2 linked regions of the Arabidopsis thaliana genome follow. The protein of the gene in region 1 purifies or fractionates together with the protein of each later gene. This does not show direct contact. Each region holds a gene or a part of one and is shown in the gene's direction. Other genes may lie near its edges.

Region 1 (7,557 bases):
ACTCACTGAGAAAGATAAAGAAGATATTATGCAATGGGGAGTTCCGAACAAAATCGACATTATCGCTCTCTCTTTTGTTCGTAAAGGATCTGACCTAATCCAAGTAAGGAAATTACTTGGAGAGCACTCAAAGAGCATCATGCTTATGTCAAAGGTGGAGAATCAAGAAGGAGTAATGAATTTCGATAAGATCCTGGAGAATTCTGATGCTTTCATGGTGGCTAGAGGAGATCTTGGGATGGAGATACCAATCGAAAAGATGTTTCTTGCTCAGAAAACAATGATCAACAAGGCTAATGCTCATGGGAAACCAGTGGTCACAGCCACACAGATGCTTGAATCCATGACAGTCTCTCCTCGCCCGACTAGAGCTGAAGCTACCGACGTAGCAAACGCGGTTCTTGACGGGACAGATTGCGTTATGCTTAGCGGAGAAACTGCTGCTGGAGCTCACCCTGAGACTGCCGTGTTAACAATGTCAAGGATCTGCAAAGAAGCAGAGGATTTCATAGATTACGACATTCTCCACAAGAAAACCCTAGGAATGGTTTCGTTACCGTTATCTCCAATCGAGAGCTTAGCTGCTTCAGCTGTTTCGACTGCGCGGAGTGTTTTCGCGTCCGCGATCGTTGTTCTCACTAGAGGCGGTTACACGGCGGAGCTTGTGGCTAAATACAGGCCAAGCGTTCCGATTCTGTCGGTGATTATGCCAGAGATTGCTGAATGCTCGGACTCGGTAGCTCATGTGGCGAGACGTGGTTTGATTTACCGTGGGATTATTCCGGTGGTGGGATGTTCAGCTAGAGATTCAACGGAGGAGATGATTAGATTAGCTATAGGATTTGCCAAGACGAAGGGAATTTGTAAGACTGGAGATTCCATTGTGGCTTTGCACAAGATTGATGGTTCATCTATTGTCAGGATAGTGAGCGTCGAGTAATCCAATTCTTAACTTTTTTTGTTTAACCATTGTTTTTGGTCACATGATAATAAAGTTTTAAACATAATTTTCAGTTTCATTATTTGTCGTAGTTGTTGAAATTTTGAATAACACCCAAACAAACTAATAATTTTAAATAAAGTTATATCACAAGTTTTGTTTTGGCCTAAACTAAATTTTCTCTTAAGCATGAAGTGAATCTGCATCAACCCCATTATCAGAATCAAGCCACTGCATTTCCTGAGTCAAGTCTTTAATCATCATATATATATCTTGACAAAGAGGATTTGATCGATCTTCAGCATTAAAGGCCTTAACTTGATTTCTAATCTCAATCCAGCTCCAACCTGGAACTTTCTTTACACCTCTCTCCTTCATCATCTTCTTCACACTTGCTTTCTCTTCCCATTTCTTGAGATCACTATACATATGAGACAACGAAACATACGTAAAATGATCTTCTGGTTCAATCTCTAGCAAATGGTTAGCCACTTGAGTAGCCATTTCGATCTCTCCACAAGCCCTGCAAACTCCAAGGAAAGTTTTCAATACCATTGGATCAGGATTCAACGGCATTGATTCGATTAACTCTTTCGCTTTGTTCACGAGCCCTGCTCTGCCTAAGAGATCAACTGCAGCTGCGTAATGTTCCATTCGAGGTTGGATTTTGTAAACCGGTTCCATTAAATTAAGCAACTCGAGTCCCTCTTGTATTAAACCGGTGTGGCTACAAGCTGTAAGGATTGCTGTGAAGGTTACATGGTCTAGCTTCACGTTTTGGTTACACATTTGGGAGAAGAGATCAAGAGAGACTTGGCCTAAACCATGTTGAGCGTATCCAAGAATCATTGCGTTCCAAGCTACTGTGCTGTGTTTGGAGGAAATCTGTTGGAAGCATTTTCGTGCACTCTCGATTATGCCACATTTTGAGTACATCACGATCAGAGAACTGATTACAAACTCGTTTGATACGAAGCCTGATTTAGTGGCGAGCGCGTGGATCTGCTGACCTAATTGGAGTGTTGCTAGGTCCGAGCATGATCTGAGAAGTGCAGAGAAGGCGTAATCGTCGACTTTTATCTCTGAGGATCTTAAGTAGCTAAAGAACTTTACCGCATCCTCGCTGAGACCCTTCTGGGCGAACCCTGTAATGATCGAATTCCAAGAGATAAGATCCTTAGATTTTAAGGATTCAAATAGAGACAGAGCATCTTCCATGGTGCCTGTAGGAAACTGAATATACATAGAGATCAATGCATTTGTTGCAGAAGTTACTTGTTCCAATCCCTTCTTTATTACCATACCATGCAAAGACTTCCCAAAAATTTGATGTTCTTCGCCAGAGCAAGCGCTTAACAAGCCGGTGTAAGTATAAATGTCGGTTTCGACCCAATGTCTTTGCATTTGAATAAACAGTTCAAAAGCAGATTCCTTTAGCTCATGTTTAGAGAAACCTGCAATCATCGAATTCCACGAAATCAAGTCTTTTGAGCCACCCAAGCCATCAAAAACTCTCTTTGCATCTGATACTGACCCACAATCTGCATAAGAGCTGATCATCGCATTGCATATAGTGATCTCGTGTTGAAGCCCGAGTTTCAAAACCTTAGCATGAACTTGCTTTAACAAGTTACAAAACATAGGATCATCAAGCAAAGTAAGAAGTGGAGCGAAAGTGCCAGCATCCATAGTCACAGCAGCTTTCATCTCCATCAAACCCAACAACCAAAAAGCAGTCTTGATATCTCGCACTTGCACAAATCCAGCAATCAAAGCATTCCATGAAACAGAGTTAGGCTCTGAAATCTCCTTAAAAGCCTCAAAAGCATCTTCAACTCTTTCACATTTCGCATACATATCAACAAGCGAACTTCCAACATACACATTACACTCATAACCTCCCTTTATAACCAAACCATGCACTTGCTCTCCAAGATCGAACCTTTTCACAGAAGCAATCCCTTTCAACAACCTACTAAAACTATACCCATCAACATCAGATCCAGATCTCTTCATACATGTAAATAAACACCATGCATCCTCCAATTTCCCACAGCTTGTGTACCCAGAAATCATTGTGTTCCAAGACACGGAATCTCTCTTAGGCATTTCATCGAACAACATATTGGCATAACCCAAGAAGCCAAATTTTATATAAGAATCCAAAATTCGATTGGATACGTATATATCTGAGATGGAACCACATTTAATAGCGTAACAGTGAGTGAGTGAAAGCTTTTGGAAAGAGTTTAAAGAGCTCTCTAGTAGAGAGGCTAACAACGCTTTCATTCATCTGTTTCTCTGTGTTCATATGATGTCAACATCAAAGAGAGTTTATTTTATTTTATTTATGTATAAAAATATATTTTAATTATGCTTTTTTTTGGTCAAATAATCAGTTTATTATTAACTTATATATATACCTGAATTTACCTAGTAATGGATTATCAAGTGGCTAGTTAGTTTGATAAATTTGTGTTAATAACCTTATGTGGATTAATAATGGCTTAATTAAGTAAATCAAAACACATTTGAAGTTTGAGTTATTTGTAAAATTGTATTTTTTCAGTTAGACTGGAAAAAAATACCTTAGTTTTTTTTTTTTTTTTTTCTAGATTTCGGTCATGGGTGTCACGACATAAATTTATATATACATATATATGAAGTATATTTGAAATCTATTTAAAAAAAAAAGTCATAGATGAGTCGATTTACCAATAGAAACTACAAAATTTACCTTTCAACACTTAAAAGGCTTCTTAAAATTTTGATTGATGCTTCATTCGTTTATCAAAGAGACATACGGCTTAAAAGTTAAAAACCACATGGCGAGTCTAAATCCGTATGGCAGAAAACTATGGACTTTTCTATTAAATTTTTAAAACAAAGTTATTATATATTTAATATTTGGTGTATTTCTTTTAAATGTAAAATGTGTTGCAAACCAAAAATAATAATTATTACAATGGTTTGTAGAGATGTTGCTATTGGCTAAAAATAATTTGTTGTTTTTTTATATTTGATATTTTAAAAATTCTGGTAATGATATTATATTGTTTTTTTAAAAAAAATTAGTGGATTCGACCTTAAACTATAATAACCCAAACTAGCCGTTGCAAGTGCATTTCCGAGGAAGACTAGCCGTTACGCTCTTATTCCTTTTTTTTTCTTTTTCTTTCTTTCCTTCTTTTTAATCCTTCCCTCAAATATCTTTTTTTCCCTTCAAAATCATTAAAACCCTAAGCGACGCTGTTAACACTTGCGAATTCAATTTTCAAAATCACCGATCCTTAGACTCCATGGCGTCCAAAACAGCGGCTGCTAAAGATATCATCACTTTACACGGATCTGCTGCCATCGTCAGCGAATTCTTCTGTACGTATCTTCATTTTTTCTTAGACTCAATTTCAGATATCTTCTTCTCGATTTGATGTTTTTTTTTTCCTTCTTCTTCTTCCTCCAGGTTACGCTGCGAACAGGTGAGAATTGGATCGGAACTTTTCAATTTCAGTGTCTGGAAATCTTCGATTCTGTGATTTTTTTACAGTGAAATTGATTCGTTATTGGTTTCTGGGTACAGTATATTGTATAATCGTGCAGTTTATCCAGAGGAAAGTTTTGTGAAAGTGAAGAAATATGGACTTCCGATGTTGCTTATTGAAGATGAATCCGTCAAATCTTTCATGTCTAATCTCACTTCTCAGATCTCCGGTAATTTTACAAATGTCAGACTTTTATTCAATGATTCCTTTTGTGAGAGAGTCTGAGACTTGATTTTGTTTTTGGTCTAAAGAATGGCTTGAAGCTGGGAAGTTGCAGAGAGTAGTGTTAGTGATTATGAGTAAAGCTACTGGTGAAGTCTTGGAGAGGTGGAATTTTCGTATTGAGACTGATAATGAAGTTGTTGACAAAGGGTCAGTTTTTTGTTTTTAGTGTTGATACTTTCGCAAGTTTGTTTGTTTTCTTTGATTCTTTGTTTCATTATGTTATCTTTATGGAACTTTTTAGTGTGTCGAGGGAGAAGAGTGATAAGGAGATCATGAGGGAGATTCAAGCTATTATGAGACAGGTTGCTTCAAGTGTTACTTACTTGCCTTGTCTTGATGAAACATGTAAGAACCAATTCATAGGAACTTTGAGTGATCATCATTTCGGAACTAGTTTGATTTGGATTCTCGTTTTTGATTGTGCATGTTGTTTGTATTAGGTGTGTTTGATGTATTGGCGTATACGGATACTGATGTGGCTGTTCCATTCACTTGGATCGAGAGCGACCCGAAGTTGATTGCTAATCCACAGATGGTTAAGTTACACGGTTTTGATACCAAGGTAAGGAGGAGGAAGAATTTTGAAACCTTTATTTATACACTTTGAAATGTCTAAGTATTTTGGTGGTTTCATACTTTGCAGATTCACAAAGTCGACACGCTTGTCTCATACAAGAACGACGAGTGGGATGAAGAAGAGTAACAGAAGTCGGGACACACGTATGCAAGGCTCTTTGTTCAGCTTGCGTTTATCTCTTTGGGAGTTCTCATTGTTCTTAAAGGCACGTGAATCCTTTATTCACACACCTATATCGTTTTCTCTTCTGTTTTTTTTCTTTTTCTGAATTGTATGAGAATTGGAATCCTGTACTTGTGTTGTGTTTTGTTCAAAAGTTATCAGCTTTTTCATTGTCCCTGTCTCTTGTACTGAACCGTTTTGTTTACCAATCAAACTTTATGGCTCTTGGATCAAAAAGAGATTTCTCAATAAACAAATCAAATTCCTCTGATTCACAATGGCATGTCAAAAGAGGTGCATATGTACAGTGACTGATGAAAATAAAGTATTTTGGATCAAAAAAAGCTATTTATAGTGACTGATGAAAAATAAAAGGTTTCTTCTAGCCTTCTGTAGTAACCGTTTTCTCATCTCATTCCTCTGTATAAGCGACCGGATTGAAGCTCGTCCATATTGTCTATGTTTTGAAACGCGTCAAACTCTCTCAGACATGTCCATCCTCGTCGAGCCAAGAAATCTCGGTAATCTTCTTCGGTGTAGAATATCTTCTCCTCTTGATGGACTGGTAACGGATCAGATTCATCATAGTGGCACACTCTAACGGCTATCCCTGAATTCAAATGGATATTGAGAAACCTCTAACCAGAGAGTATTCGATGAATAGCATAGAAGAAAGAGTGGATTTACCTTCATCAATGCGGAGTATATAGTTCCCTAAAGGCATGTCTCGGTCAAGAGAGCGAATAACCTGTTCTTCATCTTCTAGCCAAAAAGCTCGTCTTGTTCTCAATCTAAACGCGGATCTGATAGCTTCCTTAATTGCTTCAGCAGTACCATCAATCCCAACTCGTCTTGTGTAATCTCCAAATTTCACCGTTATGATCCTCCCAGCAAATGGCTGACCATCAACGCCTGCTTCAAACATGACAACGATTAGTAGTAGTTGCCATAAAAGTTCAAAAGCTTAATAAACAAGGAGAGGCTCTCTCTAAGTTAGATTGTCTGGTTACTTACCATTTCCAGGGGTGTCTCTCCAATTCCAAGGAGGAACTCCATTTGCTGTGATGGGATCAGCAGCAATGGGGAGAGGAAGACCATCATGATCAAGCTCCGTTTCAAGATTTAGCGTTGGCCTGCCATTAGCTGCATACAGATACAACTCATATCAAGACTAAAGTGACTAACACTACTTCCACAAACCAAACAAAATCGGCTTCACATTATCACTAACATTCTACAATTTGGTATGAGTTCACTTTTATTTCACTGAATTATAAGAGAATCATAAGTTGTTGCACAATTGTTTACCCAAAGTTAGGACTGATACAACCATTTCTCTCAAAGTAATTCCCCAACTAAAAAAGATTTCAACACCACCATTTATATATACACTCAAAGATTCAATAAATGTGAGATCAATACCTTCAACAGATGTAAATGAAATACCAGTATCTTCAAAACCTACAAGAAGATAAAGATAAAGATCAATTTTAGAAGAAAACCCAAATTTACTATAAAAAGTCAATCTAGTTTAACAAACCAAATCTACAACTTTATAATTAGCCATTAATGGTCAAAAGCCTCTTTAACCAGGTTTAGCACTAAAAGAGGAACAAAACTAAAACCAAAAAAGATCAGTCTTTATCTTCTCAATCCAAATCTAAACCAAAACCCATTAAGAAATTTTATCCAAACCTGCAACAAATCAATCAGAATCCCCAAAACCAAGCTAAAGATTGTACCTTTATCTGTAAATTGCATAAAGGAATCAACTTTAGCAGAAGATGGTGTAGTAGTAGCAGGACTCTTATAGAATGCCACTTTCTTCTTTCTTTCTCTGAAAATATCTTCAATCTCATTGTAATAAGACATCTTCGTTGATCCTCCACTTGTTGCTTTATCTTCATGTTGCTTAGCTTTCTTAAACTCTTTCAATATGTTCCTCCACTTGTCCGTACACATAGATGGTGATCGATCAAACCCTTTCTCTCTCATTTTCTTAGAAATCTGTTCCCAGAGATGTTTGTTAGATTTGGAAGTGTTGAAAAGATTGTCCATTTCTCTCCGTAATGAGATTAAGGTTCGAGTCTCGTCTTGTGCCCATGTCTCTG
Region 2 (6,165 bases), on another chromosome or scaffold:
TTTTTAAAAGGAAAAAAATAGATTCTACTCAATTTATATCAATTAAGTTAGGAATTTAAAATAATATTTCAACTGATTTTATGTTAGTTATAGGAAAATAAATATATATGAAAAAACTAAAAGTGTTTTCTTTCTCCAATCATCTTTTTTTTTTAAATATCATTTCATTATGTTCATTTTATTAAAAATCAGTTTGAACCGTTAATATGAAATTTACGTTTTCAAATAATTATCCGGTGTAAATTTTTTTTTGGTGTAATGGTTAACTAAATATCCATTAATACTTCATCACACCATATATGAAGTTTGATTTTCATAGATTACAAATTATTGAAGATTAATGGAAACGATTTCTATCTAGAGATTTTAGTGTGGTGCATAGAACCGTATGTCGTAGTACAGTACCATCTGTCAAACTGTAAAATTGTACAAGCATCGATGTAAAACTATCGGTTGTGGAGTTGACTACGAAAACCATAAAAAGAAAACTCAAAAAATGATTTGCTAGTCCTAAAAATTATTTGTAATATATATTCAAATAATAATGTATCCAACAACATAGCAACTTCCGTTCAATTTTTGAAAGAGGAAGAAATTAACGTATAAAATTTGTATTTTCTCTATAAAATTCATATTCGAATTTATTTTTTCTTAGACATTTTAAATTGTTTTTTTCTTTTTTTAAATATTGGAATTATGTTGTGTAGCCCACTTTAATTGTTTGGGTCCTCTGTCTAGGCATCGTCTGTCTGCTTTCCATGTTTCTGTCACCATAATTGACATATCTATTTATTAACAATCTTCATATTTTTGTCACGGTATACTGTAAGTTTTCTTTAACCACATTTTTTTCATCAAATTTTTTATCGTTTGGCTAAAACTATAATGACCAACCAAAGTATATAATTTTTTAAAACGTTACATATGATTTTTTTGTCAAAGTTACACATGATTATTGACAAAGAACTACACATGATAATGCCAACCATTACTTATAAACAAAATATCCAGAAAAAAAAAGAAAGAAGAAGAAAAGTAGTCAGTGAAAAGGACAACATGTACAATAATATTCAATGGTTAATCACGATGGCTAAAATGATCCAGCTCACGTGATTCTCGTGGATGATGTAATTACAAAACGACTTTAGACCCACTAATCGTACACTAACATATGATTATTGACATTACATAATAAAATATCTCTACTTCTTGCCAGTTTTCTTACAAGACATTGATAAACATGTTACATGTCACAGAAACATTGTATCAAGTAAAAAGTTTTACTTTATCAAAAAAGAAAGAAAGTAAAAGGTTCGAGAGGAATTAGTGAAGATAACCTAATTTAATACCTTAATGTACTTCCATAACAAGTCGATTTTTTGGATTTAACAATTATTTTGGTTTTCAATTTTTCACAATTCTGTCTTCATCTTTCAAGCGATCCTCTTTGCGCTAATAACAAGATGGAGAAAATCATGATAAAATTTAGCGATGAGGTTTTATCCTTTTTCATTTTCTGTTTTATGGTTAAGTTTTGTGATTAAAGAATTAGAAGTTTTTTACAGGATTTAGACTATGGTTAGAGTTTACATTTGATTTAGAATTGTGTGACTTTCATATAAAAATAATGACATCTACGAAATTACGAAATACAAATATGGGCTTATTCATTATTGGGCCATACAAGCCCATCGAGTTTAGTATTGATCCTCTAATCAAAAAACGTAAACAAATAAGATAACAGAAAAACAAAAACAAAAATTTCTGCTTTGAAGAAGAAGAGTCGATCCATAATCGCCACTTTCAGATTTCCAGATTCTGGGGAAACATCTCTAAACTCTTCAACGATGGCGACTGAGAATCTCACCGATAAGAATGTTGTTTTCAGAAAGCTGAAATCAAAATCCGAGAACAAGGTTAGGGTTACTCAATTTTCGATTTTGAATTTCGTTCAGATCTGGAGCTTATACGACCTAAATCTTCCGAATTGATTTATGATTTTGCTTCGGTTTTTAGGTTTGCTTTGATTGTAGTGCGAAGAATCCAACATGGGCTTCTGTTCCTTATGGGATCTTCCTATGCATCGATTGTTCTGCTGTTCATCGAAGTCTAGGTGTTCATATCAGCTTCGTCAGGTAAAACTTTGAATCTTGAGGAACACAAATTTGAACTCTTTAGGCTTAATTTTTAGCTTCATGGACTTGTAGCAATGTTTCACCTTCTGGCTAGGGTTTAAGCTGTGATTAGGAAGATGTTGACTTATTTTTTCCTGTTGACCACTCTATTTATAGCATTTCATGTTGTTGTAGATCTATTATAAGATCATATTGTTTTTGTGCAGGTCAACGAACTTAGACTCGTGGAGTCCTGAGCAGCTAAGAACAATGATGTTTGGAGGGAACAATCGAGCTCAGGTGTTTTTTAAGCAACATGGATGGAATGATGGTGGTAAGATTGAGGCTAAGTATACTTCAAGAGCTGCTGATATGTATAGACAGACTCTTGCTAAAGAAGTTGCTAAAGCCATGGCTGAAGAAACTGTTTTACCGTCGTTATCCTCTGTTGCTACTTCTCAGCCAGTGGAATCATCTGAAAATGGGTTTACTTCTGAATCTCCGAAAGAGAGTTCTTTGAAGCAAGAAGCAGCTGTTGTCTCTTCACCAAAAGCTTCTCAGAAAGTTGTTGCTAGTACGTTTAAGAAACCTCTTGTTTCGCGAAAGTCTGGGAAGACTGGTGGTCTTGGTGCTCGTAAGCTTACTACTAAGGTAACGTTTTTCGTTTTTATAAAGAATTATAGCTTAGCTTCTCGGTTCTTGGTTTTGATTAGATTAGTATTTGTTGTATATGTAGTCAAAGGATAACCTCTATGAGCAGAAGCCTGAAGAACCTGTACCTGTGATTCCTGCTGCTTCTCCAACCAATGACACATCAGCAGCTGGATCATCATTTGCCTCTCGATTTGAGTACTTTGATGATGAGCAATCTGGTGGGCAAAGTGGCACACGGGTGCTTAGCCATGTTGCTCCACCAAAGTCATCAAATTTCTTTAATGAATTTGGAATGGACAGTGCTTTCCCCAAGAAGTCAAGCTCAAGCTCATCCAAAGCTCAGGTAAAGAAAAGTTTCATTTTTAACAGAACTGAAGAAAGAGATAGAAATCAATTCTCGATTCCTCTTTGTTTACCTGTTTTCTTTTTACTTAGGTTGAAGAAACAGATGAAGCAAGAAAGAAGTTTTCAAACGCCAAATCGATTTCCTCTGCCCAATTTTTCGGAAATCAGAACAGAGATGCCGATCTTGACTCAAAAGCTACCCTTCAGAAGTTCTCGGTATGTCCTTAACCGATCAAACTCTATACTAGTTTTCTTTAGTCTCGTTGTTCATACATGCCTAATGCGATTACAAATCTATCAGGGTTCAGCAGCTATTTCAAGTTCTGATCTTTTTGGCCACGGACCAGATGATTCCAACATCGATATCACTGCAAGCGATCTCATCAACCGAATTTCTTTCCAGGTAAAGTTCTGAAGTAGAATCAAATTCTTCAGCTTTTCTTAACTCTGCTTATAAGGTTTTTTTATTTGACTTTGTTTATTATTGGGCACAGGCGCAGCAAGATATGTCATCTATTGCTAACTTAGCTGAGGAAACAAAGAATAAGCTGGGAACATTTGCCTCTAGTATATTCAGTGATCTTCAGGATAGAATGCTGTAAGAAACATACAAAGGATCTTGTCTTTTGATTTACAGAGAACAAATTGTTGGATATAAATGTCATTTTTATTTTTGGTTTGACTTTGTAGTTGAAAGAGTGATTTTTGAGGTAAATTGTTAAATGTGGAATTTGATAATTTGATGTGGATATGGTAGAATATGTTACAGTATTATGTATGGTATTGAACATCAATTTATTCCCTTGATATGGTTGCAAAAAAAAAAAAAAAAAAAAAGAACTCAGCATAAGAGGAAGAACTTATTACCAATCAAAACTTTTGTTGAAAAGAACTAATATTGAAAAAGGAGAAAAGTGAGCAGATGGATTTTCTTTGACCATATCGGCATTTCTATTAAAATAGTTCCATTTTTATTATAATATAATTAAATTTTGATTATGAGGATTTTATATTAAAAGTTATATTTATTACTGAATAAATTTAATTTATAAGACTAAAAAGGTGATTTTACAAGAAAGTAAAATATATAATTTTTTTAACTTGAAAGAAATTTGGTCAACAATATAGTAAACCGTTAAACTTGGAAAACTATATTGAAAAAGATATAGGAAAGCTATATTTGGGCAAACAATATAAAGAAAACGTAAGATCAACTTAGGCTAATGAAAACTTTAAATTGGTCAACAATATAAAGAAGATAATAATATAGAAATGTTAGTATTTCCATTATTTGTTAAAGAAATGATTTAATTTAGCTTTTAGAAACAAACTGACAAAAAAATTGATGTGGCATACAGTAACTAGAAATATTTTTACAATATTTTTTTTTGGAAAAAGTAAATAAATCTAGATTTTAGGAAAAAAATGATAAAAGTAACTGTATATATTTTTATTTTGTAAAGTATATAACACAAATAAAAGCAATATTAAATTTCAATAAATTGATAAACAAATTAACAATCAACTTGCGTTTTTCCCTATTGTTCTCCTTCCTCCTTCAACTATTTAACCCAAAAAAATAAAATCTGGTTTTGTCATTTTTTTTTTTTTTCGACAGTTCTGGTTTTGTCAATTAAACTTGTTTAAAGATAAAAAATATAATTGGTCAAAGAGTCTCTGAGAATCCAAACTTCCAAAACCAAGTGCGAACCATGGTTGAGTTAACCAAATAACCTAATCAACGTTTAATTACGCTTATTTTATCTGTGGAAAAGGTCAAAAGAAACCCTAAATCCCCAAATAAATGGCGGCTTGATTTTCCCTCCCAATTCAAACCTTCTTCTCCACTCCAATTCTCATCTTCCCTCCAAATCGTTTCGATTCGCTCTCAGATTTCGAAAATTTCCCAACTTTTTTGGAGCGAAACTCAAATTTATCTTCTTCAATTACTTACAGATCGATTTACGAGATGCAGAATTCTCCCAAAACTAAACCCTAGCTTCCACTTCTTCCCCTTTCCTTCAATTCTTCACAAAATCCGTTCTCGGTTTTGTTGTTAATGGCGGAATTTAGTGACCCACCACCATCTAATCTCTCTTCTTCTCATAAATTAACTAAACCCAACCAAACCCTAGATGAGTCTTCACCAACCGCGCCAATTCGAGACCTTGTTACTAACTCGCTCTCTCTTTCCTCACCGATTCGTCAGATTCAAGCCCTTTCTCCGGCAAAACCAGACGGGTCTTCCTCTTCTCCGCCGGACAAAACCCTAAATTTCAATCCAGAGGAAAACAGAGATGTGAACCCAGATGAGTCTTCCTCTTCTCCGTCAGATAAAACCCTAATTGCGCCACCAGCTCAGATTTCGCCTGTTAGCAACAACAATCATCTCCGGATCACGAACACGTCAGATTCGTATCTTTATCGTCCACCAAGGAGATACATCGAGTATGAAAGCGATGACGACGAGCTTAATAAGATGGAACCAACAAAACCTCTACAGTTATCATGGTGGTATCCGAGGATTGAACCCACCGGTGTTGTAAGTTTCTCTTCTTCCCTTTTTATCTGATTTTGTTTTGGTATCCGAAATTGAATCATTTTGGATGTTTTATACAATTTCTTCAGGGGGCTGGGCTATATAATTCAGGCAACACTTGTTTCATAGCTTCTGTGTTACAGTGCTTCACTCATACTGTGCCTCTTATCGATAGTCTTCGTTCATTCATGTATGGAAACCCTTGCAACTGTAAGATTTGCTTATTTGGTTTGATTTGAGTTTGGTGACTTGTTTCGTTCATGGTTTTAATCTTATAGTTTCTTTGGGTTTTCAGGTGGAAATGAGAAGTTCTGTGTAATGCAAGCTCTTCGAGATCATATTGAGCTTGCTCTGAGGTCTTCAGGATATGGAATAAACATTGATAGATTTCGTGATAACTTGACTTGTATCCTTTTTTAAGTGTTTTTTGTTTATATATGTGCATAATTTTGTGTTGGAGGTTTCTTTATATGAATTGGTTATCCTTAACCAATCACAGATTTTTCATCTGAT

What was found. The genes of interacting proteins can lie anywhere in the genome.
Region 2: the proteins of MAD2 (region 1) and AGD9 purify together in Arabidopsis thaliana (affinity purification with mass spectrometry, with the first as the bait; one large-scale study listed by BioGRID). This does not show direct contact.

What each region holds. Positions count from the first base shown.
Region 1 is NC_003074.8:9,498,993-9,506,549, forward strand, and holds MAD2 (DNA-binding HORMA family protein), read left to right. Parts: upstream 1-4,063; 5' UTR 4,064-4,239; coding exon 4,240-4,315; coding exon of another isoform or gene 4,316-4,319; exon of another isoform or gene 4,320-4,403; coding exon 4,404-4,419; exon of another isoform or gene 4,420-4,520; coding exon 4,521-4,651; intron 4,652-4,733; coding exon 4,734-4,854; intron 4,855-4,948; coding exon 4,949-5,052; intron 5,053-5,147; coding exon 5,148-5,269; intron 5,270-5,350; coding exon 5,351-5,410; 3' UTR 5,411-5,678; downstream 5,679-7,557. Other genes in the region: AT3G25960 (Pyruvate kinase family protein), read left to right, coding at 1-940; AT3G25970 (Pentatricopeptide repeat (PPR) superfamily protein), read right to left, coding at 1,124-3,229; AT3G25990 (Homeodomain-like superfamily protein), read right to left, coding at 5,854-6,056, 6,134-6,358, 6,461-6,589, 6,869-6,907, 7,189-7,557. UniProt on the Arabidopsis thaliana protein: Required for the execution of the mitotic checkpoint which monitors the process of kinetochore-spindle attachment and delays the onset of anaphase when this process is not complete.
Region 2 is NC_003076.8:18,967,500-18,973,664, reverse strand, and holds AGD9 (ARF-GAP domain 9), read left to right. Parts: upstream 1-1,683; 5' UTR 1,684-1,847; coding exon 1,848-1,916; intron 1,917-2,016; coding exon 2,017-2,135; intron 2,136-2,341; coding exon 2,342-2,765; intron 2,766-2,850; coding exon 2,851-3,111; intron 3,112-3,203; coding exon 3,204-3,329; intron 3,330-3,414; coding exon 3,415-3,516; intron 3,517-3,607; coding exon 3,608-3,715; 3' UTR 3,716-3,929; downstream 3,930-6,165. Other genes in the region: UBP21 (ubiquitin-specific protease 21), read left to right, coding at 5,173-5,655, 5,742-5,862, 5,948-6,058, 6,152-6,165. UniProt on the Arabidopsis thaliana protein: GTPase-activating protein (GAP) for ADP ribosylation factor (ARF).